Linked DNA regions of Oryzias latipes. The protein of the gene in region 1 purifies or fractionates together with the protein of each later gene. This does not show direct contact. Links are inferred from orthologs where the notes say so. Each region holds a gene or a part of one and is shown on either strand. Other genes may lie near its edges.

Region 1 (6,400 bases):
GTTTATGTTCAGGTCAAGAACAGTAGTAAGTAGAAAAAAGATGATGGCTCCCCAAAGTAGACATATGGGAAATAACAAAAGAAAAAGCTGTTTTTGTCTCGCCTTGTTTAAAACCTTTCGTTTTAAGGAAGCCTTTTATTTTAAAAGGAAGTCATACTGCCTACCTTCTGTCAAAAGCAAAAAGCAATTTGACATTGTGAGAAAACATTAGTTGCTCTTCATGCCAGGAAAATAAATGTAAATTCACATCTATAACAAAAATGAATAAATGCAAAGCACTATCAAATTTTCCTACAGGTTAAAATAGGACTTTGTGGCTTTGAGTAGATTTTGATAAGTAATGAACAGGCTCAAATGGCTCTTTTGGTTGCAGACTCCTGTTTTAGGGTAATCTGTATAAAAGGCTTACAGGCTTCTTGACATCATGGGTGGCTGCAGAGAGGGTCCACCAGAAACATAAGAGGAGAAGCTAAAAAAGCTTCAAAGTGGCTCATGAAGAGGAGCCATGACATAACATGCTGCTTAGATAGAAAATGGGGACTGATCACCACTGGTTGGGTCGACTGAGTAAGGGGCCGGGAAGAAGAAATACCCGAAACATCCTTTGAGTTATTCACTGAGGATGCAATTAAATTGCAACTTTTCAAGGTCTTTCAATGTTCTTTCAATATTTGTTGCTGAGGAACAATGACGTTATTAAAACTTATTGAAGTTTTGTACAAATAATTTAGCATTTTACAAACGAGCTTTGTTAGAGTAATAACATAAAGAATGAAACACAAGTGAATTAAATGCAACATTTTTCCAAAGGGCCCACTGAAGAACAACTGTGTCTGGAATTTACAAAGACATATCTTCCATGCCCCCATAGTCCTGAGCAGGACTACGGGGGCATGGAGTCCATTCCAGTTACTTCAGGGCATAAACAACATAACTCTAAGCACTTTACTAGACCATCAGAAGTCTATTCAAACTTCTTAAGGGACAATTTTAGAGTAGAGTACCTAATTTACCAATAAAACATGCTTTGAACCCCTTCAGGAACCTGAAGGTCTTGGAAAAAACAATGGACACACAAAATGTAAAAACCTCACACACATTCCAACCCTACCGTTCTGAAATTTGAATCACCACGCCACCTGGTGGAGTTGCAGGAGATTACAAAAGGTGAGAAAATAATAGTTGCTACAGATTCATTCTCAAGTTTACAGAGTTTCAGAAGTGTTTGCTACCAGTGTAGCTGTGAAAAAAAACGTGTGGCAACTTCAGGTGGAGTATAAAGACTAAAGTAAGACTAAATAAATAAATAAATAAAGTAAGACTAAATAAAGTCTGCATATGACCTTATGACCTGCAAGGAGCAGGTAGAGAAGCATCTAGAGAGGAATAAAGACCAGTCACAGCAAGATAATGTACCTACATGGAAATACAAGAAGCAATTGAAACTGTTGAAAACTAATAATGCGGATAAAGAACATTTTTAGTTATAAAATAAAGGTTTGTATTTTAAAGGTCACATGGTTAAAAAAAATACAAATTTTATATGATATAAATAACACTGACAAACATATCAGTAAGAAATTCAAAAGAGAGGGGAAAAGATGAATAAAGTTAAAATGAATATCAGGGACCAAAAATCTCAGCAGGTCTATGCTATGGCGAGCTCACATGGTCTTTTATTATTGAACACTACAAATGTTAAGTTAGGAACCTGTAAACATAAATGTAAAACAGTTAGAACATTTAGAACAAAAAATGAGATAGATCATCAAATAAAGACACAAGAAAGCAAAACAAAGACAGAGTCAACTAAAAAACACCTAAATATGAAGAGTTTTGATATAATTTAATGCCTTTAAAAAAGTTGAAACATTTTCTTGCTTTTTTACTTTTCATGAATTAAACAAATCTACTTAAGAAACACATTAAACAGTGGTTTGGTTTTTAATAATTTACTTTTATGAATATAAAATTTGCTTTTGATTGTTAAAATATTTTAAACTAAATTTAACAGACTGTTATGTGAAATTACACCAAAAAGAATGTTGTTCTTTTTTAATGAGACTTGAACAGAGGAATTTGAACACCACAAATGAAACTCATCCCCAAAAAGATTCAAAGTACATGCAATCAACAAGCAATTTCAACACAAAAATACAATTGTTTTCTTTAAATCTTTAACTTTAACATTTATTTACAAGGAAATAAATTATTTATTACAAGGGCATATATGACTGAACAGTTCTATCGTTGTGTTTGAGGGGAGTTCCTACACTTCATCTTCCAGGACAGTAGGTAGCAGAAGCGCACCATTATTGCTAGATGACACCCGCCTAAACCAGAAGAAAGCAGAGGAAGAATATCACCGGAAGTAGATCGGTGTTGTGACCGGAAGTTCCCCGAGCGCCGTTGTTCTCTGCACAGTTAACGTTCTCACCGTAGTCTCCGAGAGAAGCTGACGGAGCTCATCGGTACTGCGCGCCTCTGCGACCCGTGACTGTGACTCGACATGACTGCCGCTGGAAGCTCGGTTTCCTCGCACGTGGGAGACGTCGAAGAAGACGCGTCACAGTTGCTGTTTCCCAAAGGTGGCGCGCACAAATACTGTTTACTTCCGAAACTTTTTGTTAGGTTACAGTGTAACCTGTATTGGAAACAATTACGTTGCTATATGTGACCGATGAGGATAATCATCCCCTGATTATTAATTTATGTAAGCTGCATCACCGATTTGAATCTGAATATTTTCATTATACGACCATCATCATCTGTACTGGTTAAATGTTTCTCTCACTGACACACATGTATTGTGATCATCATGATGTTTGGTCCACTGATCAAGATAGAATTATTTGTTTGTTTGCTGAGAGTAAACTATAAGTTTAAATTTACATGGATTGCTGTCCTGGAAGGTCTGAGACTCAACAAGCTTCCTAAAATAGTACAGGCTGACTTTGATCAGCAGGATTTTTGTCCTACTTCTTGAAACAGGCCTTAAATTCCAGTCCACAATCACTGCAGGAATCCTTCTGTCTTTCAATCAAAATGGTTCTGGAGCTGATATTCTGTAGAATCTGAGCTCAAATTCAGTGACTAACCAGCCCCCTCCTGCTGTCTGCAGAGTTTGAGAACTCTGAGACGCTGCTGAACTCGGAGGTCCACATGCTGCTGGAGCACAGGAAGCAGCAGAACGAGAGCGCCGAGGACGAACAGGAGTTGTCCGAGGTCTTCATGAAGACTCTCAACTACACGGCCCGCTTCAGCCGCTTCAAGAACCGCGAGACCATCACTGCCGTGCGCAGGTAAGGATGCCCCTTCTGGTCCCAGGTCCTGGCCCTGATCTGGGTCCTAATGGCCTTTCTGTCTGTCTCAGTCTCCTCCTGCAGAAGAAGCTCCATAAATTTGAGCTGGCCAGTTTGGCGAATCTGTGTCCTGAAGCTGCAGAGGAGGCTAAAGCTCTGACCCCCAGGTGAGTCTGGACTGAACCGGACTTGTTCTTTTCACCCATAAATTACAGGGTCTTCGTTAACCAATCTGTGAAAAGATTCACCTGACATCAGATTATTCTGAACACCTTAGTGATTTTAGGATTTTTGGGAGGCTTGACTTTTTATTTTATTTTAACACTTTCAGTAAATTGAGTAAAAGTATAAGTTAGTCTGGATGCCAAGGAGATTTATTTAGTAATGTCGAAGTAACACTATTTTACATTAAGGGCAGACGTGTGCAGCTTTAATTGAATTAATTCAAAGAGAAAACCTGAGAGATTATCCTAAACTGGATCAGAAAACATTTTGGATCAATTCATCACAGACATGTAGTTTTATGCTGTTCTTACTTGTCAGGAATTGGTTTCTTGTTGAAATTATTATGCATTAAAAAATAGCAGATAAGTTATTTTAGATTGTTTAGTGATCATTATTTTTGTGAAAATATACAGTGGTGGACAAAATTGTTGGTACCCATCAGTTATAGAAACAAATTCCAGAATTCTCACTAAAATGACTTGAAATGTTCAAAAGTAACAATAAATTAAAATTTAATGAAAATGAAATAATCAAAATCAGCTTTTTAATTTGTTGATTGACAGAATTATTTAAAAAAAAAAAAAAGCTAATGAAATAGGGTTGGCCAAAAATGATGGTACCTCCATAACAGACTGAGAACTAATTGCCCAGGGGGTCATGATGAACTCAGGTATGTCCTTAAATTGACATCATAGCTGTCTTCAAACTCATAATCAGTCAGTCTGTCAACAATTTTGTCCACCACTGTATCTTACTGAGATATGGATCGTTTTGCAGGTGATGTTGTTACAATTCTTATCAAATAATTCATCGTTGAGAGAATAAAGTTCTGCCGGGTTCTGCTTCTTTTCTCAGTCTGGAGGGTCGCTTTGAGGATGAAGAGCTGCAACAGATCCTGGATGACATTCAGACCAAGAGGAGCTTCCAGTACTAAGACCAGGACCAGCAGCTGGACCTGAGACCTCCAGAACTCTCCTTAACAGAGGCAGCGTGGTTCACGTTCCACCGGGACCAGAAAAATCACAGAACATTTAATCCACCCACCACCCAGCAGAATCTTGATGTACTTTAAAGGCACACAAGATGCTGTTTGTGTGTCTGATTCTATCCGGTCTGTGGAAAATCCAGCACATGTTGATAAGAAAACTGTATCTGTGCTCTGCTCCTTCGGGTACCTATGGGCAGAAACTCAAATCCATCATCAGTGAGCTTATCCCGAACACCGCCCACTCGTACTGCCAGCTCAGACCTGCAAGACCACCTTCGAGTCAGAGTCCACGCAAAATTGATTCCCAACAGAACCTTCTTGTCCCAGGAGAACCCCTTTTAGTGCTTTTGTGTGGTTGTCTGTCCAAACCGCTTATTAGGAGCGGAACAGGGAACTGGATTTATTGTGTTGATTGAAAATAAAAATTTAAAAAAACTACACCAAGGAACAACCAAGCAAAGTTTGTAAAGCTCTTTTAACAAAAAGAATCACAAAGTGAGAAGGAGAGCCGGTGGACCATAGGGACAGAGGCAGGGAGGGATCTCATCAAATCTTCCAATCTTTATTACAGCTAAAGGGTAGGTAGGTGGTGAAACAGGAAAAGATGCAGCAAATGAATCACAGGTGCTGTCATTCCCTTCTCCACCAAGGATTCCTAGATGGATTGCTGTCCATTAAAAAAAAAAAGTTATATACACAATATAAATTAAAAAATGTAAAGACGTGATATAGCATCAGTATTAGCATTGGCCCCAGGGACACAGCAGGGAGAGAATTGGGGGGTACATTTTAAACTGTTCTTCTGAACACTCACTACGGTCCATGACTCATCTAAGTGGGGTTCGAACCAACATTTTCAGAGGAATAAGACTTGAATGCCATCAGTAACTGAAGCTTTACCATTGGAACAATAAAGTTAAATTTGAAATAAAAAAACGGCCAGCATTGGGTAAGACTAACTACAACATTGTTTCCTCTTGTTTGAAGAAGTAATTTCAAAAATGCGTTTTTAATTATTTATATTTACATTACAAAATAAAATTCCAACGTTTAAGTTATGTCCTATTTGCCAGCTGTCGAGCTAATGCTGTTTTCACAGTGTTCACTAAAGTCTTATTTTGGTAATGTTTGGCTCATCGATGAAGGAGAGATTTTTGATGTTTACTGACTACTGACTTCTAAAAGATCGCGATGCACAAGCGTGATGCCTAAAAAGACATTTGTCAGAAGTGGGATTCGAACCCACGCCTCCAGAGGAGACTGCGACCTGAACGCAGCGCCTTAGACCGCTCGGCCATCCTGACATCTTGTTTACGCACCAACATTTCTGTATAAAGAACATCTCCAAAAAAATCTAGGGTCGGAGGAAGTTACTTATTAGAGCCTCTAGACCAGGTGTCTCAAACTCGCGGCCTGCGGGCTATTTGCGGCCCCCAAGATGATATTTTGCGGCCCCCACCTTAATATGAACGTTTAATTTTAGTTTTCTTTTTTTAACTTTAGCCTCCTCTGGGCATATTTATTAACCATTGACTGAGCACGGAACAGGAACGTCTCTCTCGTACATTTTTTTTTATACTTTATTGACAAACAACACAATACAATAACATTGTGAATGTTTCAGGGGAAATTGCAATGTGTACATATTACAGAAAATATAAGAAATAAAACAAAAAGTATATAAATATATAAACATACATATACAACATAAGACAAAAAGAATAATTACTTCAAAAATCTTTGGGGTTTAATAAATTTAAAATTTTTCAAAAATTAAATTAGTTCGAATTGCTTTTTGGTTTTGCAGATGTTTGACAATGGTACAATACTGATTGATTTCACTCAAAAACTGCTGGAATTTAGGTTTGGAGTTTGACCATTTGGC
Region 2 (6,471 bases), on another chromosome or scaffold:
ACTTTATTTATGTTTTCATTTTTACTTTTATCTTATTTTCCATCATATACCTAATTTTTGAGGACATACTGATCCTAAAGCTATCAGAAGCGAGTGGGGTTGAGGGTTTGATTTCACAAACAAATAAGTTTGTAATGGATTGCGGCCGGAAGCAGAATGGGGTTGCCCAGTTAGCCGGGAAAAATGGGGAAGGGGTTTTGAGTGTTATGTTGTTCATCTCTTTGGTGACATTGTTTGTGCGTTTTTTTTACCTCTCAGACCTGTTTATAAATGCAGGAAATGTTATCTAACATCGTTTTAGTGACACAAAACTTTGAAATTAAATGCACATCTTGGAACTGCAGGGTCTTGAACAAAACAAAAACAATTCAACCGGTTATGAATAAGATAAAAGATATTGGGTCTAAAATTCCTCCAGGAGACTCACACTCTGGAAGAGGATAATGTCAAAACAGGCAGAAGATTGGCACGGGTCTTTATATTCAGCATCTCATATCTCAAGAGCATGTGGCGTCATCACACTAATTCATAAATCTGTTCCTTTTTCAAGTTCTAAATGTTATTAAAGATACATCTGGCAGATTTCTGATTCTTCAAGGTTCCATTCTAAAAGAGACTATCAACCTGGTGAATGTCTATGGGCCTAACATAGATGATAACACATTTTTTACAAACCTTTTTGTAACCATTTCTTCACTCCAAGGATATAGTATCCTAGGAGGAGACTGGAATTGTGTCTTGGATCCCTCTTTGGATAGATCATCTGGATTTGACCAAACTCACCAAAGAAGTAGGAATGCTGTACAGAATTTCATGAAGGAATTAAAAATGGCAGATATGTGGCGACACACAAGACCCAAAGATATTGAGTATTCTTGTTATTCTAAAACTTATGGCTCATACTCTCACATAGATTACTTTTTAATTTCAGCAGAGTTACTATCCAATATAAAACAATGTTTTTTGACAGTATAACAATCTCGGACCATGTAGCATTTTGTACTTGCATATTAATCTCAAAATGCATCCACCCAGGTGGTGTCTGCATCGAAAATGGCTTAAGAATGAACATGTTGTTGAATTTGTAGGGAATAAAATAGATTAATATTTTACCATGAACACTACTCAAACTTCAGCCAGTGTAAGATGGTAGGCATTTAAAGCTTTTTTTTAAGAGGGCATATAATTTCCTTTACTTCATCAAAATCAAGAGAATTGCGCAAAAAAGAATACAATTAGAAGATAGAACAACAACAGCTGAGGAGAAAGTGTGTAAAAATAAAGATCAGCAAGCTGAAAAAGAATTAGAAATGCTGGGAGCTGAGTATAATAAGGAATCAACAGATCGTGCAGCCTCAATCAAACTCTCTATGAGCAAGGAGACAAACCTGGAAAGATCTTAGCCTGGCAAATTAAACAAACGGAGGCCCAAAAGAACATAACTTCAATAATTAACAAAAATGGGACAACCCTGTGCACCCAAAGGAAATAAATACTGAATTTAAAAACTTATTCTGCAATCTTTATGCTGAACTTTATGCTCAATTGCTGACATTTTAACAAACAAAAATATCTCTGCTCCTATTAAATTAAACGTGGGTGTCGGCAGGGATGCCCTTTGTCACCTCTGCTGTTCACTCTAGCAATAGAGCCACTTGCCATAGCAGTACGTGCTCATCCAACCATCTCTGGTATTACGATTAATCACGTAGAACATAGATTGTCATTGATATTGTTTTATATTGATATTATTTTACATGTGTACGAATCTGATGTGAGTGGAGTGAGAATGAGAGGAAGACCGCGAATGGGATGGACAGAGGGTGTAAAAAGAGCGCTGAATGCAAGAGGGATGACTGTGGTGCATGGGAGAGAGGCTGCTCAGGACAGGGATGGGTGGAGAGAGTTTGTGTATGAATGAATGGATGGGTGTGGTAGAGGTCTGGTCTTGGGATGAAGCGGCAAGGGGAAACCAGCCTCGGCTGAGGCCCTGCTGTGGAGGTGCCCACACTGGGCTGTGCAGCTGACCCTGGTGCAGTGTGGTGTGGCTTAGACCAGGCCTTAGACCGGTCACATACACACACACGCGCACACACGCACACACTGAAGGAGGAGGGTTTGGGGAAGAGAAGGAGGGCGGTAAGAATGGGTGCCCTGTCAAGGCTACCCCACTTTGGTGGGACACAGCCTAGGTAGATTGGTATAGATTATTTTACATCTCTCCAACTTAGACTCATCTATATCTGCTCGTCTGCAATTAATTGAAGAGTGTGGTTACATATCCAGCTACACCATAAATAAATCTAAATCGTCCATTTTACTGCTGAACGAGAATCAAAGAGAAAGGCCACCAGCAGTAATAATGCATTTTAAATCAGTCCACTCATTTAAATATTTAGGTATAAACATTTTTCCAAACATAGCACTAACAGTTCAAAACAATAATGATTCCATAACAAAAGAAATAAATGACAGTATTAATAGATGAATGCAGCTTCCTACATCACTGATCTAATGTCTACAAAATGAACATTTTACCAAAACTGCTGTATATTTTCCAAAATATGCCCCTGCCACCTCCCGACGGTTGGTTCAAAATTATAAAACAAATGATTCTGTGTTATATATGGAAAAATAAAAAATCTAGGACACAGCTATCGCTCCTTCATCTATGTATATTTACACACACATGTTGGTTAAGTGCAGGACCGATATATATAATTTTTATTTATTTAAGGAACAGGCAACATTTCAGTTATATAAAAAAAACTCTGTGGAGAGAAACTGTCAACTCTGTGTCCTCTGTCGCGTGCCTACGTCATGACGCAGGCATCGTATCCCAGCATGCAACAGGAGGCCAAGAGAGATCCAGCACCTCGGAGTGAGCTGTGGGAGCCCGTTGTCAGACTGGAACAAACGGTCAAACCCGCTCACACATTTCCAGCTCCATGTGAGGAAAGCGAACCTTTTACCTTCCAAGCTCCGGGAAACATGCGGTTCGGGTGCATATCGTGTTCGTGAAGCAGTCAAGAAGTCATCGTTGTCATCCGGTTTTCATTTTGGAGGATTCCTCCCTCCATCATCCGGATCGCATCAAACAGGCAATGACCACGGTATCCACAACCCCGCAGCAGATAAGGGACCGGCTGCTCCAGGCCATCGACAGTCAGAGCAATGTGAGTGCTCCTCCTGCTAACAGGCTACCCGGCCAGTGTTAGCTTGTTTACCTACACGCTCCGTACGTTAACACGTCTGCTTACGCTTGACGTGTTGTGCTACTTTGAAGGAAAACGTTTCTGTCACAGTATAGTTGAAGATGACTTTTCAAAAACCCTGACCAGTAGCGGTTCTAGGCACGGGCCGTCCGGGCGGTGGCCTGGGGCGGAAAACTGAAGGGGGCGGCACCGGCAGCTCAGCCCTTGTAAAATATTATATGCACCACTATTGGTTTTCTTATGTCACAGTTTGTGAGTTTGTAACAGCCTGAACCTGGCCGCGCCGCCGCCCCGCAGCTGCGCTCTCCTGTCTTTGAGAAGTAGACACAAATGTGTGTGAAGAAGGAGAAGGGAAGGGGCGCGGGGTGAGCACGGAGCGCCGCCGCGTTTGCGCATGCGCAAACCCTGGCTGGCTCATCTTTCAGAGGAGGCGACGGTCGCGGGCTTGATAAAAAAAATAAAAGTAATGTAGCGAATCAGCGCCCCTGGCTGTAGCTGCACGCGCTCCTGCTGAAAATGTGTGAAGAAAGGGGGGGGGGGGGGCTGCGGGGAATCAGTTCAATTGTGGGACGCTTCCAAATTAAGAGGCTAGGTGGGGACAAGGGCGGGGGTTTGAATCTACTTTATAAAACCTTTTTATAAGTCAGTCATAAGGTGACATTCTATAACCTACATTTTAATAAAGGTATAAAAAATATATTCTTCTTTTTTGGGTTAATTTTATGTGAAATGCCCAAATGAAAAAATGGCAACACAAAACAATGCTGTCACTAAGGTGACAGTTGGTTCAGTCGACGGACTTGATGCCTTCTTCGTGACGTGAGGACATTTATGCCAAACAATCGCCAAAAACATCTAAAATATGGAGAAGAAAAGGTCAAAGCCATCTGGTGCCCAATTTAGAAAGAAAAGAAAAGAAGAAGAGGAGAAAAGAGATAAAGAAAAGGGGAAGCCCTCAAAGCTTGATGCATGTTTTTTCTAAAACATGCATCAAGCCCGTTCTATCAAGCCCAAATGTTGCAAATAGCGTCATTTTTTATTGATTTTTTAGATTTTATTCTTAAAAATTTGCTCTGCCTTAACTTGTAACATTAGTTATGATTCATGTGTCTGTCTGCTGTGCTGTAACACAACGGTTTTGTTGTGTTTTGCTGTTGTATACTAGTTCATAATGTTAAAAAAGCTGTGATGGTTACACAGCATGCTGCTGCTGCCATAAGATGCTAATGGGGCAAATAATTTGAGATTGGTCATTAATTTAATAATCATTTGTGGCAGCCTAAACGTTTTCACAATGTGTTTTTGACATTTAACTGGGGATTTAGGGGTTAATTTTGAGCCAGCATATGAAGTTTATTTTTTATTTGTTTTACAAATGTTGGGTTATATTTTTAGCCAATAGAATTTCCATAAATCTGTAGGTAGTTTTAAAAATGAATATTTACCATTTACTGCAACTCTATGGGGACAAAACATAATGTAACAGGTCATAACTAAAAATGTGCCAATCAAAGGATTGAAGACGGAAAACATGAGCATGTCGGAAAACATGTTAGTTGACAAAGACATAGTTCTGTTTTGACCATGGGGGGGGGGGGGGGGGGGGGGGGGGGCGCCTGGGGAGGGTCTCGCCCGGGGAGTAATTCAGGGTAGAACCGCCACTGACCCTGACAGAGAGGCGCGTGCCTCTGGAGAATAGATAGAGCTACACGGCGAGCTACACCTCCATTAGCTTAGCCTCGGTTAGTCATGGCAGTCCCTTAGCATGCTAGCTGTTAGCTTAGCCCTGAGATTCACCAACACAACAGTAAAAGTTACCCAGCGACCCCCTAACCCTGTCAGGCCACAGGGGAACTGTTGTCGATTTAGCAAAACTGTCATTTAAAATAGAGGCAGAAAACGAGGCACTCCAGCTTTTTAGAGGTGCTACATTTACCAGTCTAAACAATTCTGTCCCTAAAAGTTTAATATTAACTTGAGTCAGGTCGAGAAATTAAAGGAATTCACTATAATCTTGTCTGGATGATTAAGAGATTTTGGACTGTGAGGCTCAACTTTTAAGTTTACAGCAATTCTTATTCCTCTAAAGAAGAATTTCATGTGTAGTGACCAATTTATGTGTGGCATTGAGATATAGTGAAATTACTAGGATGTGTTTGTGTGCATAAACATGCACAACATGCAACATACTATCCAAAATTTTCATTGTCATGGTTTTTCTTCATTGATTTTTTGGTCATTTTTGTAGCCAAACCCCAATACAGTTGTGTTTAACTAAAAGCTCAGGAAGGTTTGGTACTGTGGTGTGTTTCAGCACCGCTTTATGCTGGCAATCAACAAGTTTCAAGTATTATTGTAACGTAGGTATTACTTTCAGGGCTAACTTATCCTTTAAAAAGCGAAACTTTTCTAAGTAAACGGAAAATGTTTTTTTGTGTAACTCTGTATTCTTTATCATGCAAAAAAATCAACCTTTTTGAGCTTTGAAGTGTATTATAATTTTAATTCTTTACGAAAAACACCTCAAAAGCGGTATTTTGTTCCGTTCACGCATTTCAAAAACCTGCTCTCTGAGTACCAGCTGCTCCCAATCCACCCAATCGAGTGGCTCCTCATATTGTGACGTCAGTAAAAGTGGGAAAAGCCCCTTAAGCACAACACCAGCATCACTCCATGATGCTAAAAAGATGCTGCTAAAAAGGTTAACAGTGGAATCAGGTCTGTTATTACATTTATAAAATACAGCCTTTTAGGAGTACTTTGTCCTCTCTGGGTGGGTGGGGTGCTCCTGCCCCAGGTGGAGGAGGTTAATTTTTCCCGGATCGAGTTCTCTTGTTTTGTTCCTGGATCGAGTCCTGAATCTAGCTTTTGGTCTGTATTCAAACTGGCATCAAGCAGAGTATCCTGTTTGTTAACAAAACCATGTGACTAAAGATCTCTTCTGTCATTGGTCAGGTCCTACAAGGGCGGGGCAAGGAGAAAGACAAACGCGCTGCACTTTACAATCCCTATTGGGACGGTTAACTTATTAAAACTTGTCGATTACCAGGTTTGAACATCAGTAACAAACTTTTTACTTATTGTGGTACGGCGGTTCATGCTGCAGGGCGGATACTGAGGAGACGAGGATGCTAGCAAAGAATTTCTGTAGCATAATCAAAACCAGAAATGCTTTTTAATTTTACAAATTAAGCTGCATTTTTTTGACTCAAAATTCAAATGAAAAATCAATCCACCAAAATGCTTTTTCATTTCT
Region 3 (6,297 bases), on another chromosome or scaffold:
AACAGCATTTGTTTAAAGTGGAGAATAGTGGAACTTCTTCTTCTTCCACTTTCGGCTTCTCCCATCAGGGGTCGCCACAGCGAACGAGTCGCATGGTAGATTTGGCAATGTTTTACGCCGGATGCCCTTCCTGACGCAGTGGAACTTACTGATAAATAATGAAAAGATTCTTATTTTAAAATTTTTAATGAAAGATTAAAAACACAAGGAAGAAAAAAAGATTAAATTGATTTGATGAATTACTGTAACATAGCTTTTTCTTTGTGAAGATAAATTCAAATTATTTTGTAAATACCCTCTTGTAGTGCTTCAATAAATATGTCCATGGAATGTACATGCAAACTTGCATGGAACCTCCACCTTAAAAGAGAATCAGGAGCTTTAACTGACCACTAAAGAGGGAATAGCAGATCAAAGCAAACAACTCATAAAATGATGTATGTTATGCTAAAGGCTATCCTTATAGAATCATTTTCTACCCATGCAAAACTGATTTAAGGACTTTGCACTGTCAGGGACACAGCTGGAACTTGAAGTGAAAGTCATTGTCTGCTGAGTTGGGTGGAAATGGTTTGACGCTTTGGCTGGAAACCTTCCAAAGGGGAAATGCAGCTGTGGAAAACAGAAGAATGCAATACTGGAAAATGTTACACCGACAACACCGGTTAAGAAAGAAAAGATCAACAAAAAGCCTAGGATCTACAAAAGGGATGTTTTTTTGCCCTGTTTTAAGCATTTTGTTTAAGGAATCTGATGGGATGGTCTGATCTGCAAAAGAAACAAGAAATCTACAGAATATTGAACTATAACAAAGAACTAAGATCTCGTGAGCAAAAAATGTCATATTTAAAAAATAAAAAAGACATGGTATTGTATTGCTATGCATTGTTTTCACTAAGCAAATAAGAAAAGATGAATACAAAGTGCTGTTTATTTCTTGGGATAGAATGATTTATTGATAATATATTTATAGTTTAATTCATTTCTGCCAAACAGGTACAAGAGATTAATTGTCTTTTTTTTTTTGAGGGAAACAGAGCCTTCAGCTTTCAGGCTCATCTTTTGTGGCACCAACTCCCCAGTTCAATTCTGGAGGCAGACACCATCTTTATCTTCAATGCAACTAAAGCCTTCCTCTGATAAAGGAAAAAGTTCTCTTTGACCTGGATGACCTTAACCCTTGTGCTATCATAGGCACTTTGACATTGGGAGTGGGGTCATCTGGACCCCACAAGACAGTGCGCTGAACGTTTTTTCTTAAATGATTTGTAATCTTCACTGGTGTCCAAGGATAACATGAAATCCTCTTCGCCTTTATCTACCTTTGTCCTGGTAGGGATAACACGTCAATGCTAGGGTGGGGTCATTTGGACCCCATAAGATAGCACAAGGGCCTCACTTTATACTTTTCTTATTTCTGCTTTGTTTTTTTTTAAGAATGCATTTAATACATTTACAGTTCCTAACTGGAATGTCTTTGTCATGTGGTTGCAGTGTTTGCCCCTGTGTTGTCTACATGTCTTCCTGTCCTCTAATCCAAACCACTAAGTGTAAACGGTCGCTCTCATTTGTTCCACTTAAATTGTTACATTTTCACTTCACAATTGTCTGTTTGCGTCCTCATAAAGGATTGCGACACATACTCTTTGATGTAATCTGTTGGTCACTTATTGAAAAAAAAAAACTAGAGTTAGCCAATTTGACCCGAATGAAATATTATGGATTAAATTGGATTATAAAACCATTTTAAATAATGTAGTTGGAGAAAAAAATAAATAAATTATTTTGTGGGCACCACTGGTGCTGTGACGTGCTTCATGCAATCAATGACGAGTCATGGTATTTGTCACAGTAATCTGAGTAAAAGATAACTTCAATAAAATGGTTAAGTAAGACATATGGTTACTATTTCCTCTAAAACACTTAAAATGATATGTGATTGAATCTTTTGTCATTTTCCCACAAAACTGGAGATTGTAATTACTTGATTCATTGTTTCTTGCTCTCCTAGATTTTTCACCTTGCGATAATATCGGTTGGAAATTTAGTTTTTTTGTACAACTGAAATTGAATTTACTGTATTGGGAAATTCTCCTCATGATCGTTTTTGGTAGTCGTGACCACCTTTGGCCAGCAGAGGGCAGCAAATTACATGTGTTATTCCAACGGCCAACGAGCTGCAGTACAGTGATCTGTACAGTAGAGGGAGAAAGAGCGTCACAGCAGACGTTGAATTTCCGCAGAAGAAGAAGAAGGTCCCACTTTGAAATGTTGTCATGAGTGGAACTCAAAGAAGGTTTCACGTAGAGCGGATTGTTTTATTAGTAAATTGTTTCTAGTGTTTTTGTCGTATAGTTTTAAAGTCAAATTTTAATCTACAGTTCGTTGTGTGGGAATGGCTGCAGTTGGAAGCGGGTAGCCATCAGTAATGTCGTGGACCGATCAGCGTCAGGGGAAGGTTGGAGACCTGAGGAACCAGAGCAGAGAAGAACTGCAGGAGCTGCTGCTGCGACAGGAAAAAATCCTCTCCAATAAGTGAGTCTGGCCTTTTATTAGACGACAAAAGAGACATTTTCCTGTAGTTTTTTTTTATTTGTTTAATGACCATAGTATATTAGCAGTTAAAAATAGTTACAACACATTCGGTTCCATCATGTTAACGTTATACCAACTGTTAAGAAATTAAAAGTAAAACCTGCACATTTTAAAATGCCCACTTTGGGCTTTAACCGAATGTTTTATATTCCAGATGCTACATGTTCGTTTATATTGTTTATTCTTAGTCATCTTTTAACTTTTAATAACAAAAAGTTACTCCCAAAGACAAATGTTTTGCTCGAAAAATGTCCCTTTTCAACAGTGAATGTAATCATAGCAAGAGGATTATGTTAGAGTCCCCCTCTGATCATCTGGATCCAGTCTCCTACAAGTGGATGCATCATGGCGTGGAGGAGGAGGGGGCTTGTGGCCTGCCGACTGTAGCTTCTACATCACAACAAGATTTTTTTCATGTATATGTCCTCTATCCTGAGAAAAATGCCACAAGAACACGTTAAAAACCGAATTTTCATTGCAGTGGGCCTCGAGGTTGCATCAAAATAGCTAGGAATGTATCATAAACCATATCAACTGATGCTTATTGTGTTGTGTATAAATCACAGATTAAGTTGTTGTTTGTTTTAGAAAAAGAGGCAGAGATGTGATAAATGCCATGTGACATAACTGCTCGATGAGTTCTTTACAAGATGATTGTTTGTTGTTTTTTAGGAGGTTATTACAGACTCTTCCAGACAAAGGGAAAAAAATTCAAGATTTTGCAGACAACGTGCGTCTCGCCATTGAACAGCGCATCGAAGAGGAGAGGAGGCGAGATTTACTGTCTGCTACAAGGAGCGATTTACAATCCAAGTACCAGCAAGCTTTCAGTTCGCAACAACGTGGAGTCACCTCATCAGCACCTTCATACCAAAATGAGGAAGGAGAGGACTCACGAGGAACGGAAAGCACACCTGATTTAGCACCAACGAAGAAAGATGCCACTTTAGAAAAACAAATGGACACATCTGCTGCCGAACCCTCTGTTAAATCTGAAGAGATAAAAGAAAGTGAGCTAGTGGAAGCCCTGGACAGGGTCCAGGTATCCGAGTCCAATACTGGAAAGTCCAAAGAAGCCTTTAACAGCAAAGCAACAACCAATTACTTTCTCCAAAAGCAAACACCAAAGAAGCCTCACTATATTGCTGTCCTGAATAGAGGAGAGTCCTCTTTACATGCCATCAGGCAAAAATTCAAACCAAATCAGTAAGTTACTTTATTTCTTTCAAAACTTTGATATATTATTTGCATTTATGTCTGTTTTATTAGGGATAAACATCTGGATTCCTTGAAAATCAAAATGTTTTAACCCTCTTTTCAGGCTGCTCAACAGAAGTGACGTTTCAACGTCAGGATCCTCGTCACCAGGTGAGCCCTCTGGAGATGCATCGCCGCTGTCCGCTCAGGCCAGGAGGGAGCAGGACAAGAAACACCTGGATGATGTCACTGCGGCCAAACTCCCTCCTCTTCATCACAATCCTGCCCAACTCCTGACCCTTGAAGAGTCCGCTGCCTTACTTGTAGAACACACCAGAAAGCAGCAGGTTAGTGTGACTGAAACCTCTCACACACATCAATATGACTCGCCATTTAAAATGGCTGTGAAGTGTTGAGAGGGCTTCATCACTGATGTCTATCATTTTGGGCTTGTTGTGGACCACTCAGAAGATTTTCTAACAATGCACAGTTGCTACTGTGGAGGTTTTCATATATGTGCAGGACTGATGGTAATATAGGTGTCATTATTTGCCCACAGGGGCATTTTCATAAATTCTTTTTTATTATTTTGTTAAAATGGTCTCAAAACAAAATGTTATTATCTGCCATTGCACAAAAGCACACATTGACAAATGTTATGCAGGTTTGAATAAAAAACTGAAAATAAAAGTGAATAAATTGGTTCAAAGTAAAATAAAAATCTTAGTGAAATGTGTTTTTAATGAATCACTGACTACATCATTTGATGTTTGTTTCATTTTGGTTTTTCATAGTTGTCATTTTCCCTTAAGAACTCCAGAGGGCAGTATTCAGACACTGACTTTACATGCAGACCAATACCTGTAAATGCAAGAGTCAAATCATCTTATTATTATTAGTCATATTTCAGTGTTTATTGCTCTCTTTATGCACTTTTTCCTATTGTTTTTTTTCTTCAAATCTTGTGTATGATTGTAGGAGTTGCAGGCCAAGCTGGCAGCCCAGAAACTGTCTGAGGGACTAAAAATGTCGGTGGGGGGCTACAACCCTGACGGCGGCTCCATGGGCGCCTACAGAGAGGTGCACGATGAAGAAGCACAGCTTTCCTCAGAGGAGGACTGATCCTGGAGGACCAGCTGAGGAAACCGTTGGCCCTTTGGCTCAAAGATGCTTTGGACCTCACTATGTGGAGCTCTCATGCATCTTAGCATGAAGGAGATGTGGATAGACTGAGCTTAGCAAACTAAATGTTAAGTTAGGATGATGGATCTGTTTAGCTCAGGTCTTCTCAAGTTCTGTCAAGATAACAGCTTCAGCTGATCCAGAGTCTGTGAGGTTAAATCCTAAATTGGTTTTCTAAGTTGAAGTTTTCTTTTAAAATTAAAAAAATGCACTTCAAGTTGATCAGCAGGTGGAACTGACTTTTTTGGGACATTGTGACTGTTTACAGCTGTACCAGCAGACGTAAGCTGAATAAAAACATCTGACTTTGTGAAAGTTAGAGTTTATATGACAACATTACTGACTGACAACTACATCAAGCAACACTCACCAAACAGCATTTTACAAACCCTTTTTCATTTGTAAACATGAACTCTATAGCACATGTTTGGCTGATTGCAGTAACATTTTGGAGTAAACGGGGTTCATACTTTAAACCTGAAGCACTGCTGCATAAATCACCTTCAGGTTGCAATCGTGTGTCTTAATCCTGCCAATCTTTTTTCGTTACGGAAACTGTAAATTTGACGGAAATATGATAAAGGGAGAAATGGGAAGATTCTGCATTGTGAGTGAGCTCAAAAAGGTTCTTGGTTGGAATCCCAGATGAGTCCTTTCTGTGTGGAGGTGCATGCATTGTTTTTCCTTTTGTCCACCCATGTGGACTTACCTTTGCCTGAAGATAGCTGGGACATGTGTCAGGGCATGTGTGGCAGGTATAGATGATAATCTGATAGATTAAAGATTAGGCCAGAAGCTGTTGGTTTGCATCTGATGTTCTAGTGCTTCAAGTTTGCAAACAGTCTATTTGCTTTGAACGTGCATTAATTATTCACTGCCTTGCACTAGTGACCTGTCCAGGGTGTACCCCACCTTCGACCATTAGTAGCAGGGATAGGCTCCAGCGGCCTCATGACCCTCAGGGGTTTTAGTGGGTTCAGAAAATGGTTAGGATGAGTGTTGCGTACAACAGCAAAAAAAATCATTTTGTTTCATCATTTGTTTAAAAATTAAACTGTCTTAATTTTAACAACGTTTTCTTTTTAACTAATTGCACATTTCTTATACTAGTAAAATTTCAAAGTGTTGCCATTTTCCCATTTCTGAATGAAGAAAATTCCGAAGAGCTGCTCTTGCAAAATGTACCCGTGATTTGGTCTATTCAGGTGAAATAACTATTTTCAGTTGTAAATACAAAATGACCACATAGTCTTATGTAGTTGACTTTTTATCTTCAAGTTTTAGTTTTCTTTAAGTTTAAAATGAAGCTGTAAAGAGGTATGG
Region 4 (5,408 bases), on another chromosome or scaffold:
GTGAGTTTCTTCCCAGAAGAAGAACGAACTTTGTCAGTGCAGTCGCAGTTTGAAGACAGAAGAGGTGACCTCATTTGTCATCTTTAGCGTTTCTGCAGTAATTTCTGCTACAAGGCCTCCAAAGAGTTTGAGCTGCAGATCCCAAAGACGCCTCTGTGGCTCAGGAAGTTGGAGAGGTCTGTGAACTGCTCCGCCTTTGTAAGACTCGACGTTCGGGTGGAGTGTCTTTGTAAAAATTCTCTCTTGCCAACAGTCCCCCGAAGATCAGGCTGCTGACGGCAGGACAGAGGTGTGTGCTCGGCGCCCGCGGCCGCACGTCCCTCTGCAGGAGTGAGCGTAACGTGTTGCATGTGTGTGTCCAGTGGGAGCTCCGGAGAGGAGGTGCTGCTGTCAGATCAGCGCCTCAAAGAGGAAGACGTTGAGAAACCACAAGCTGCCGCCCCCGCTGAGCCATGCGGGGATCATCAAAGCTCGGCTGGAGATGAGAGCAGCGGTGGGGAGCAGGACTTTGTCTCCAGTGTGGCCTTCCAGCAGCAGAAACCCCGGGTTCACTGGGCTGACCGCACGGGTGAAAGCAAGAACGGGAGCCAAGGAGAGGAGGGGACGGACGGGACTGAATGTCTGAGTCGCCTTCCACAGGAGGACACGAGGGGGCCGCATCCTGAACCCCCACAGCTGCTCGGTCCCATCACAAGCAAGGCTGAGCCACAGGACTCACCTGAGCGCCCCCAACTGGAAGAGGTAACAGCTCAGATGAGGGAGTGCACTCTTCATGAGACAGCAGCAGCCCCCCTGCCGGGCCTCCACATCACCCAGGTGGGCATGAGCAGGCGAGGAGCTGCAGGGCTGCGGGCTCTGCTGGGGAGGCAGAGCTGCACGGGAGCCAAACGGGAGCCAGCGAGCCTCCTGGAGACCCTGAGGAGGACTCTGAAAGCCTGGTGCACCGATCACACCATCAGGTTCCTGCACGGAGCCGCCTGCTCACCTGCCCCCCGTCATCATAACAGAAAGGAAGAGGGGGAGTTGGATGAAGATGATGATGCAGATGACGTGATATTGACGGACGATAGCGGGGAGAAGAAGCTGTGGGGGACAGAAGGAGACTATGAGACGCTGCAGAGGCTGACCCAACAGATGGAGCTGAGAGTCAAGGAGTTCTACAAGGGGACCTGGGTTATTCCTGTGGAGGAGCCGAGTGCTAACCAGGTGAGGGGGGGGGGTCCCTGTGGACCTCCCATCAGACCTCTGTTCAGTCAAATAAAATGCTGAGAGCAAGTTGAAATAGTCCTGGTTTGTTCTTCACAGCAGAACCTGAAGGAACCGGTCCTGCCGCTCGTGGACTCCCAGGCTCAGCATCTGATCCAGAAACGCATCACCGTGGAGAAGCTCAGCAGCTGGTGCGTGCAGATGTGTCAGACATGAACGTCTTCATCTAAACCTCTGCCTCCCCCAAACATCTTCTGTTTCACAGGAGTCCAGACTCCTGTGACGTTTGATCATATTATATTTATTATAGAAGTCCGGACATTTGTCCAGCCGCCTGCCTGCCTGCTGCTTTGCTCCATAACCAATCTGCTCCTGTCATCTGCAGCCTCAGGACCATCGTAGGCCCGCTGCACCTCACCCTGAGTGATGTCTCCACAGACCTGAACGACTTGGTGAAGACATTCAGGTGGGTGACCTGCACATATGCACCGTTCTCGTCCATTCCAGATCATCCTGCGCGCTGCAGCCTTCCATTCCTGCTCCCCATCATCATGAGACTTGAGGAGGCCCGAGTCCTGCATGAACGTCCCACAGAGCAGCACCGACCCTACTCATTATCCTCAAAGAATAAGAGAAAGCCCAGGAGAGCGTCGTGGTTTCCATGTGGTTGGCTCAGACATATCAGTTAGAGACCTCCAGGGGGGGCTGAAGAACCACAGGTTGACGGGAGCCCCCCAAACCTTTACACCAGGGGTGTCAAACATACGGCCCGCGGGCCATATTCGGCCCGCCAGGTGGTTTAGTCTGGCCCACATGATGAGCAAAAATCTTAAGCATGTTTAAAAAAGAAAGCACGTGTCTAGTCCATTCCTGTGGCGAGTTATGATTTTTTTAAAGAAATAACCGAAATGCGCAATTCTGCCATTAGGGGGGGGGAGGAAAAGCAAAACAGGTGAAACATATGTTTGCGCATGCCAAAGGTGAAACCTAACAGTTCTTCTTCTGGGTAAGATGCAGTTTGTTTCCCTGCGAGCCTCAAAGCTGTTGTGTTGCTATAAGAATGAACAGTAGTGACACAATAATGACCAAAATGTTGTCCAAAAGAAGTGGATTGCTGAGCTTTCCAGGAAAAATGGACAGTTTTCTTTTTAGGCAGGGTGTTTCACTTTTTTTGCGTAGCCCCTCTTGAGGTTATTATCGGGATTGCTTCAGTGTCAGATGTAAAATATTAAGTCAGTACAAAACTGAATAGACCTTTTTCTTTTAAGAGAAATTCATTTTATTTGAGATCCATTGGCCTCTGTGAATGAATGTGTAATAATAAGTGATTAGGTTGGTGATGTTGGTAAACTGAGTAAAAAATCAAATACAAAGCTGTTATTTTGTTTTTATGCTAGTGGTCCGGCCCACTTGAGATCAGACGGCTTGAATGCGGCCCCCGAACCAAAATGAGTTTGACACCCCTGCTTTACACGATGACTTTTTCTGGAAACAGATGAGTTAGTCTCTTTTGGTTCAGAGAGATGAACGGACAAATGTCAAGCCCCTCCTCCTCATGTTTAGGGGCAGAATAGAAGTTTAGAAACTCACCTGCTAGAATTGGACACAAAACCAGTCTGTTAGCTGCTCTGGGGGGGCTCAAAGTCTGGAAAACTTTAAGAGGTTTTCCAGACTTTGAGCCTTTGTGTTCTCAGAGAGGATCTTCAGATGGAACCCCGAGATGTTTTTTTATTATCATCCCCTTTCCTTCAGTTTGTCTTTCTTCTGCGCAGACATCTGCATGTATGTTGTGAGGAGCCTGTGATGGACTTTAGTGCAGAAGGTCAGTCAGTGATCGTTCAGAGCTCTGACCTGCTGTTTCTGACCCCAGAGGAGAGCGAGCAGGCTGTGGTTAAACCAGCGAAGGCCGAGCACGTCCACAGACAAGTGCCGCTGCATTGAAGTTTTTGAGAATCCCATCAGCGATGGAGAAGAATCTTAATGATGACATAGTCCTGTGTTGTGTGAGCAGACGGTCTTTGTTGGGTCTCTGAAGAACATTTCTCCCAGAGGAAGCAGCAGACCTGCTGGGTTTGAGACTCACAGACTGGATCTTCACATCGTCTGACCTTTGTTGTCCCAATAGAACATAAAGCTGCTGTAAACAGGAGGCTGTGGTTGAACAAGGTGAGGTAACAACAGCGGGTCCGTCATTTCACCGTCACAGGACCGTTAGAGGGGGCCAGAATTCCCCCTTTAGAGATGGACAGAGCTTAAACTAATGACTGACAGCAAACTGGGAAAAAACAGGAAAAAATAAATAATAATTGTATTTTATTGGTTTTGATTTTTTGTTTTTGCTCACTCTGCATTTCACTCTGTTGTCCCTGCTCTTCCTGCACATCACTCTGCTGTTTCTGCTGTTCCTGCTGTTCACTCTGCTGTTCCTCCTGTTCACTGCTGTTTCTGCTGTTCAATCAGCTGTTCCGGCTGTTCACTCTTCTGCTCCTGCTGTTCACTCTGCTGTTCCTGCTGTTCACTCTGCTGTTCTTGCATTTCACTCTTCTGCTCCTGCTGTTCACTCTGCTGTTCCTGCTGTTCACTCTGCTGTTCTTGCATTTCACTCTTCTGCTCCTGCTGTTCACTCTGTTGTCCCTGCTCTTCCTGCACATCACTCTGCTGTTCCTTTTGTTCACTCTGCTGTTCCTGCTGTTCACTCTGCTGTTTCTGCTGTTCAATCAGCTGTTCCGGCATTTCACTCTTCTGCTCCTGCTGTTCACTCTGCTGTTCCTGCTGTTCACTCTGCTGTTCCTCCTGTTCACTGCTGTTTCTGCTGTTCAATCAGCTGTTCCGGCATTTCACTCTTCTGCTCCTGCTGTTCACTCTGCTGTTCTTGCATTTCACTCTTCTGCTCCTGCTGTTCACTCTGCTGTTCCTGCTGTTCACTCTGCTGTTCTTGCATTTCACTCTTCTGCTCCTGCTGTTCACTCTGCTGTTCCTGCTGTTCACTCTGCTGTTCTTGCATTTCACTCTTCTGCTCCTGCTGTTCACTCTGTTGTCCCTGCTCTTCCTGCACATCACTCTGCTGTTCCTTTTGTTCACTCTGCTGTTTCTGCTGTTCCTGCTGTTCACTCTGCTGTTTCTGCTGTTCAATCAGCTGTTCCGGCATTTCACTCTTCTGCTCCTGCTGTTCACTCTGCTGTTCCTGCTGTTCACTCTGCTGTTCTTGCATTTCACTCTTCTGCTCCTGCTGATCACTGTGTTGTTCCTGCTCTTCCTGCGCATCACTATGCTGTAGCTACTGTTCACTCTGCTGTTCCTGCTTTTCCTGCACTTCACTCTCTTGCTGTTGTGTGTGTTGATGCGTTGCTGCTGAGCTTATCCCTGTGTTTTTTATTGACAGGTTCACCAACACCAACATCGTTCACAAAAGCCCGGAGTGGACCCTGATAGCAGTGGTGCTGCTGCATGTGTAAGTCTGAGGTCTCGCCTGTGTTGGAAGCAGAAATCCAAAGCGTTCCGGGCTGCTGAATCCTGTTTTTGCCGACACTGATCATTGTTTTGCACTCGCCATATGGTGTGTGTTCACGTGTTACTGGCAGTTCATGAACAGTTCCGTGCTGCTCCCGTCTGAGTACACACATCCTTATCTCGGCCTGATTGCTCCTCTGCAGATCCGTGATGCCTGGAGGAGGACACACACCCGGTTTTAACACACACACTTGGCAAACGGAGGGCTTTGAATTTCCCCAGCTGGGAAATCTTCACCTGATGCTCGACTGAAGAACATTTATGGCTCCTCTTCAGTTTGCTTAGTTAGTATTTATTTTAAAGGAACACAGGAATGCTGCTGCTGAAGAAGCTTGAGGATCACATTCCAAACTATTCTACAAAGAAAACTTTTCCAAGATTTTATAAATAGTCAAAGCAAATAACAGTCAGCATAAAAACATTAACTGTTAGTGTAAATAAAACGTTAGCAGGCATTTCTCCCAATAATAGTGTGTTTTTAATAAAAATTTTAAAATGCACTGTTCCAAATTATTACGCACAACCGTTTTCAAAGATTCTGTAGATGAAAATGATCATTTGACCGCCAATCATTTATTTCGAGGTCATATTTACTAAACTCAAAAGACATTACAATCAAAAACATCTCAAGGGTTCTTCTTTTTGTAGAAAGTGGTCAGTCAGAACAGGTCAGAACAGGTCAGAACCTACTT
Region 5 (5,747 bases), on another chromosome or scaffold:
ACTGAAACATGGCAAGCAGTTAATTTAAAATCCGACACACACAAAAAATCCCCCATGATGTTTAATGGACTGTCCCTCCCTTGCACAGCAGGATGCAGGCTTTTTCCCCCACAAGCATATTAAGTTTGAACTTAGGACTTGTAGAAAAAGTAAATTATTAGCAAAGATAAATGTGTTTATCATAGTTCAAATCACACACCAAACGCAATCCTGTAACTTTCAAAAAGAAAAAAACAAACATGCGGTGATGAGTCATCACCACACGGTGATGCGGTTATCGTCGGACCCCTAGGAAGGTGTTTTTTGCCAGTCGACATCCGTTTAGAAACAGACCAGAGCGTCTTTCAGTTTAGTTCAATTTATTTGTACATTTCAGTCCAGGTCATATAAGTACCCTATTTTTTGGAGTATAAGCCGCAGGAGCCAAAAACAAAATTCATAATATAGCAGGAAAAAAAAACCATATATAAGTCTCTCTGAAGTATAAGTCGCACTTTTAGGAGAAAAGTGCAACGCTGCTGATCAACTCTGCTAAGCCCAGCGAAATGGGATTCACACATCCCAAAGACATCCATGATTGTATTGGAAGGCCCTTCTTCTGCATTACTATCAGTAGCAAATACTGATGGTCACACCTACAGTCCCCTCCAGTGGTTGTAACTGGGAAACAGCCTCTAAAAGGCAACAGGTTTTTTGGTGGGAAAATAACAAAAATACACTATATTACCAAAAGTATTGGCTCACCTGCCTTGACTCAAATATGAACTGAATTGCCATCTCAATCCTAACCCATAGATTTCAATTTGATGTTGGTCCACCTTTTGCAGCTATTACAGTTTCAACTCTTCTGGGAAGGCTGTCCACAAGGTTAAGGAGTGTGTTTGACCATTTTTGACCATTCTTCCAAAAGTGCATTGGTGAGGTCACACACTGATGTTGTTCTATCAGGTTCAGGTCAGGACTCTGTGCAGACCAGTAAAGGTCATCCACAGACTCTGTCATCCATGTCTTTATGGGCCTTGCTTTGTGTACTGGTGCACAGTCATGTTGGAAGAGGAAGGGGCCCGCTCCAAACTGTTCCCACAAGGTTGGGAGCATGGAATTGTCCAAAATGTTTTGGTATCCTGAAGCACTCAGAGTTCCTTTCACCGGAACTAAGGCACCACGCCCAACTCCTGAAAAGCAACCCCACACCATCATTCTGCCTCCACCAAATTTCACACTCAGAACAATGCAGTCCAAAATGTACTGTTCTCCTGGCAACCTCCAAACCCAGACTTGTCCATAAGATTGCCAGATGGAAAAGTGTGATTCATCACTCCAGAGAAGGTGACTCCACTGTTCTAGAGTCCAGTGGCGGCGTGCTTTACACCACTGCATCAGACGCTTTGTATTGCATTTGGTGATGTGTGACTTTTATACACCTGTGGCCAGGCCAAGTGATTAGGACACCTGATTCTGATCATTTGGATGCGCAAGTGAATTCTTTTGGTAATATAGTGTATAGGCTAATATTTTTCTTTTATAAATTCATTCATAAGTCACTCCTGAGGATTAGTGGGAAACTATGAAAAGGAACGCAAAAAATATGGCATATATGAATACACACCATTTCATTTTCAAATATGTAAAACCATTTAAGATTAAATGTGGTGCAATCTATGGACATAACATAAATGCGATTTCTAAATATACATATACTCTAAATATATATATATTTGTAGATCATATTTAATATGCTATTATTTTAAATATAAATGTTTTCTAATACAAAACAACATGTAGAATGATTTAAAATCGTCGGCATCTTTTCAAAAAAATTTTGACCTAATTGTTTACTTTCCTCTAGACAAGGAAGCAGCAGACAAGCTTTCGAAGACGGTGGATGAAGCCTGTCTGCTGCTGGCTGAGTACAATGGTAGGCTGGCTGCAGAGCTGGAGGACCGCAGGCAGCTGGCGCGAATGCTGACGGAATATATCGGCAGCCAGAAGGAGGCGCTCATGGAGAGAGAGAAGAAACTAGAGGTAAACACAGACTTCACAGAAAAATACTCCTTTTGTTAGTCAGTTTTAATATAAAAGTACAAAATATGTATATGTTTTTTTGACCAATTTTTTTAATGTTAGCAAACAGAAATATATACACACTGTGTATTTTTTTTGTTTAAATGGTATAAAGTTAAAAGATGGTATAAATGGTATAAAAAGATAAAAATGATAAAGGATTGGATACATGGATGCACCAAGAATAACAGCTGATAAAATATAATACATTTTTCAATTAGATTACTAGTTAAGAAAACACATTTTTATTAGCTTCTTGTGTGACTTTGACCTTGCTTTATTGTTCCTGCATTTACCAAATGATAAAGACAAAAAAATAAAGTCAGTCATACAATATGTTGAATGAAAACCTTTACAAATAGTTTTACCTTTGTGCACATACTTCTAGATCAGGGGTCTGCAGCCTGAGGCTCCAAAGCCACATGTGGCTCTGTTACCTTCATTTTGTGGCTCTCTGATTAAAGAAAAAGTTATATAGTAGTAAAGTAAAATTATGTATCACTCTGCAAAGCTCCAAACCCCAGAAATCATAATTCTCCAACAATCCATTTAGCAGTTTAACAAAGTTAGCCTAAAACATTTTGGCAGACTTTTGAGCATTGTTTATCACAGAAAATCAACTGGAGGTTGTTAAGTACAAACATAATTCCTACTCAAGTCACTCCAGGTTATAAAGCAGATTTATATTTTTTATTAAATTCAAGGGTTGTAGGTGCGCCTTATGCTTCAGAATATACTGTAAGGGTCACTTATTTACCGGTAGTTATAATTTAATTTTGGTTAGTTACATTTATCAATTTCTGCCTGAGAAGCACCACAAATGCCATAATAAACAGTTTTCTACATGTACATTTGCTGCATTGAGATGATCCTAAGTGGAACAGAGTGCCTTTTATTTTGAAAGGAAGCCATGTGAACCTCTGACAGACATTTTCATATTTTGAATTATGACAATTTTTTTTCTTTATTTTTGTCTTATTTATGCCAAAAACAATAAAAAATATATTTATAGTAATATTAACAATAACGTAAATACTAATCAGAGCCTTATTTTCTTTAAAGTCTGACATTATGGCTCCAATTGGGTTGTGGTTGGTGAGAAGTGTTGCGGGTTGCAGACCCCGTTCTAGATTTTATAACAGAATATTCACAAGTGTAATATTTAACTGATGTTTAAACCGTATTGTGATCTTCTTTGCAGGAATATAAGCAGAAACTAGCGCGGGTGACCCAGGTGAGAAAAGAGCTGAAATCTCACATCCAGAGTCTCCCGGATCTGTCGCTTCTACCTAATGTGACCGGGGGTCTAGCTCCGCTCCCCTCAGCCGGAGACCTCTTCTCCACCGACTGAGGGGCCTTCTGTCCCATTAAACTTCCAGTGTGGCCCTACCTAAGTCAGAACCTTGTTTGACTCCCAGCTGTACTTCCATCCCAAAAGACACGTGTTGGAAGAACAGCTGCTGCCCCCCCCTAGTATCTGGAACCAGCCGTCAGGAGGAAGGGACATTTTATAATAGGTTTTTGTTTAATAAAAAAAAAAAAAGCTCTGACAAGGAGAAATGAGACTCTTTACATCTGGATTCATTAAAAAGGATTCTAACCCACCAGCCTGGAAGATTGTTTCCTGATTGATTTTATTTCTTTTAAATGTAGGTTTTGAGAAAAGGTCTCTTTTGTGATCAAGCCTTTAGTGAACAAAGGAGGGCGTTTTGTTCTTTTGGATGGTTTTAAGTTCTGACTTCATCACAAAGAGGATTACCTGTTAGCGTTGTTTGTGTCCGTTATTTGGTAGCTTTTTCAACACAGTCAGAATGGGCCTTTTTCCCCCTTTCAGCTGTAGAAAAATGTCAAGTTTATTTGCTTTTAGGTTGTTTTAAGAGCTGTTACTCAGTACAATCAGTCACCTAAACACCTGAAGAAACCACATTTATGGATGTTTTTAAGTCAACAGATAAACTGATGTGTTGTGCTCACTTGCAAAAAATGGAAAATTAATTTTTATGATAAGGACAGGTATGCAGATAACTTTTTGGCCTTTGGTGGAGAAGCTTGAAATATCGAGATGATGTTCTTGACTAGAACAATTTGAACCGGTGATTATTTCAGAATGGTGTGCGGTTTTATGAAACAAGTGTTTGAAACTGAAACTCAAGAGTAAAAGACCTGAAAATGACAATTATGATGTTAAACTCAAGGTCAATACTCTTTAGGAGGAAAATATGAAGCACAGCAAAAGTATTACAATTGACTTCTTTAATTACAGCAAATGTTGTTGATAGAAAACAAACCATGTTTGGCTGGAATGTCGTTTTTCCTACAAAAAATTGAAAAGCTTTTCATTTGCATTTAAAGCCATGAAAATTGTGAGTAGCCATTTTTATTTGAATGGATGATTATTGAATCTCAGGTTTCCATGTTTAAGGAAGTAATGCAATTAAAAGTTTAACAGCTGTATTTTTGCCGTGTTATTATTTCTATTTCTTTTCTGTGAAATGTGTTATTGTGAATGAAGCATTGAATTTACTGAAAGCATCATCCCTAAAGTTGCAGATTCCACATCGAATGTTCTTCTCTTCACACTCATTTACGATTAAGTAAAATTTATTTGTTGGATTCAGAAAGGAAAGTTTTTTTAATTTCTTCAATTTTACTCAAAGATTTCCAAAGTAAGTGAACACTTGCAGCATCGATGAAAGTCTTTTTTTTTATAACTGAAATAATAGATACTTTCCCAAAGTAAATGATGCAAATTCTGTTAGGAAAAGATTCAAACATACCATGTCATTAAAGACCCGCAGCATTTGGATGAGCGGGATTCAGTAAGTATTCAGTACCTCAGAAAACCAGGTTGATCATGTTGTGGGGAAAACATTAAATGGTGTCTATACCAAACTCCAAACCATGCTGTGTGGCTGTGCTCTTTATAAAGGACAAATTCCTTTTGAGGTGATTTATTTAAATGAAATCAGTGTACCGGTCATCCTGATGAAACACACATTGGTTTTGGACCAGGTATACTCTTGTAGTGCTTTTTTAAAATATATTTTTAGAATTGCATTATTTTCAATATTATGTAGCAGTTGCACAAAATCTAGCAACAGTTCCCTCAGCGATATTATTAGGAATATGTCATATAAGATCCCTGATTGTCATAATGAGACAAAGCAATAGCCTATTAGCTAATGTCAAATAAATAATTAGAAAAAAAGTGAAAATAGTCTTTTTTTTTGAGTTATGTTCTAGTGTTTTCAGATTTTTAGGTGTTTCTTCTTTTTCTTTCCAGTCATAAACAGTTTTATTTACAATCAGTACAGTGGTTTCTGTTGTTATACCCTTTCAAGCTTTAAGTATGGTCTCTGTTGTTTCTTTGACACTTGTAATCATTTATTTCATATATCTTTGTGATATCTGGGGTTTTCTTGTTTTACTTCCTCAACTATGACTTGAGGTATTAGTTTGAGGTATTAGTCTGCATCGCTTTATAGACTCAGCCAACTAAAAACCAACGTTTGGATTGTTGTACTTTACTGATTTAGTTATTTTTTACATTATTCATTTACATATTATTGTTCATTTACATACTATGATCTCACAAAAGAATGTAAAAATTACACAAAGCACACAACTGTTTATTTGCGCACTGGAAAATAGAAATGCAATTACGTACCCTCTCTGGTTGCTGT

The links.
Region 2: the proteins of polr2d (region 1) and mediator of RNA polymerase II transcription subunit 26 purify together in Homo sapiens (affinity purification with mass spectrometry; 3 studies listed by BioGRID and IntAct, with this or other methods). This does not show direct contact. The link is inferred for Oryzias latipes from reciprocal best matches to the Homo sapiens genes POLR2D and MED26.
Region 3: the proteins of polr2d (region 1) and polr2m purify together in Homo sapiens (affinity purification with mass spectrometry; 3 studies listed by BioGRID and IntAct, counting the BioPlex papers as one, with this or other methods). This does not show direct contact. The link is inferred for Oryzias latipes from reciprocal best matches to the Homo sapiens genes POLR2D and POLR2M.
Region 4: the proteins of polr2d (region 1) and rpap2 purify together in Homo sapiens (affinity purification with mass spectrometry; 5 studies listed by BioGRID and IntAct, counting the BioPlex papers as one, with this or other methods). This does not show direct contact. The link is inferred for Oryzias latipes from reciprocal best matches to the Homo sapiens genes POLR2D and RPAP2.
Region 5: the proteins of polr2d (region 1) and rprd1b purify together in Homo sapiens (affinity purification with mass spectrometry; 3 studies listed by BioGRID and IntAct, counting the BioPlex papers as one, with this or other methods). This does not show direct contact. The link is inferred for Oryzias latipes from reciprocal best matches to the Homo sapiens genes POLR2D and RPRD1B.

The regions. Positions count from the first base shown.
Region 1 is NC_019878.2:10,413,297-10,419,696, reverse strand, and holds polr2d (DNA-directed RNA polymerase II subunit RPB4), read left to right. Parts: upstream 1-2,373; 5' UTR 2,374-2,509; coding exon 2,510-2,588; intron 2,589-3,121; coding exon 3,122-3,302; intron 3,303-3,373; coding exon 3,374-3,469; intron 3,470-4,382; coding exon 4,383-4,461; 3' UTR 4,462-4,966; downstream 4,967-6,400. UniProt on the Homo sapiens protein: Core component of RNA polymerase II (Pol II), a DNA-dependent RNA polymerase which synthesizes mRNA precursors and many functional non-coding RNAs using the four ribonucleoside triphosphates as substrates.
Region 2 is NC_019875.2:6,541,069-6,547,539, forward strand, and holds the start of mediator of RNA polymerase II transcription subunit 26, read left to right. Parts: upstream 1-2,818; 5' UTR 2,819-3,104; coding exon 3,105-3,176; intron 3,177-6,471. UniProt on the Homo sapiens protein: Component of the Mediator complex, a coactivator involved in the regulated transcription of nearly all RNA polymerase II-dependent genes.
Region 3 is NC_019861.2:21,377,724-21,384,020, reverse strand, and holds polr2m (protein GRINL1A), read left to right. Parts: upstream 1-2,185; 5' UTR 2,186-2,296; intron 2,297-2,381; 5' UTR 2,382-2,428; coding exon 2,429-2,535; intron 2,536-3,267; coding exon 3,268-3,801; intron 3,802-3,916; coding exon 3,917-4,139; intron 4,140-4,770; coding exon 4,771-4,914; 3' UTR 4,915-5,289; downstream 5,290-6,297.
Region 4 is NC_019875.2:5,938,014-5,943,421, forward strand, and holds part of rpap2 (putative RNA polymerase II subunit B1 CTD phosphatase RPAP2), read left to right. Parts: intron 1-87; coding exon 88-176; intron 177-253; coding exon 254-289; intron 290-362; coding exon 363-1,206; intron 1,207-1,305; coding exon 1,306-1,397; intron 1,398-1,591; coding exon 1,592-1,672; intron 1,673-4,588; coding exon 4,589-4,657; intron 4,658-4,859; coding exon of another isoform or gene 4,860-4,968; exon of another isoform or gene 4,969-5,408.
Region 5 is NC_019865.2:7,639,020-7,644,766, reverse strand, and holds the end of rprd1b (regulation of nuclear pre-mRNA domain-containing protein 1B), read left to right. Parts: intron 1-1,849; coding exon 1,850-2,025; intron 2,026-3,265; coding exon 3,266-3,415; 3' UTR 3,416-4,518; downstream 4,519-5,747. UniProt on the Homo sapiens protein: Interacts with phosphorylated C-terminal heptapeptide repeat domain (CTD) of the largest RNA polymerase II subunit POLR2A, and participates in dephosphorylation of the CTD by RPAP2. Transcriptional regulator which enhances expression of CCND1.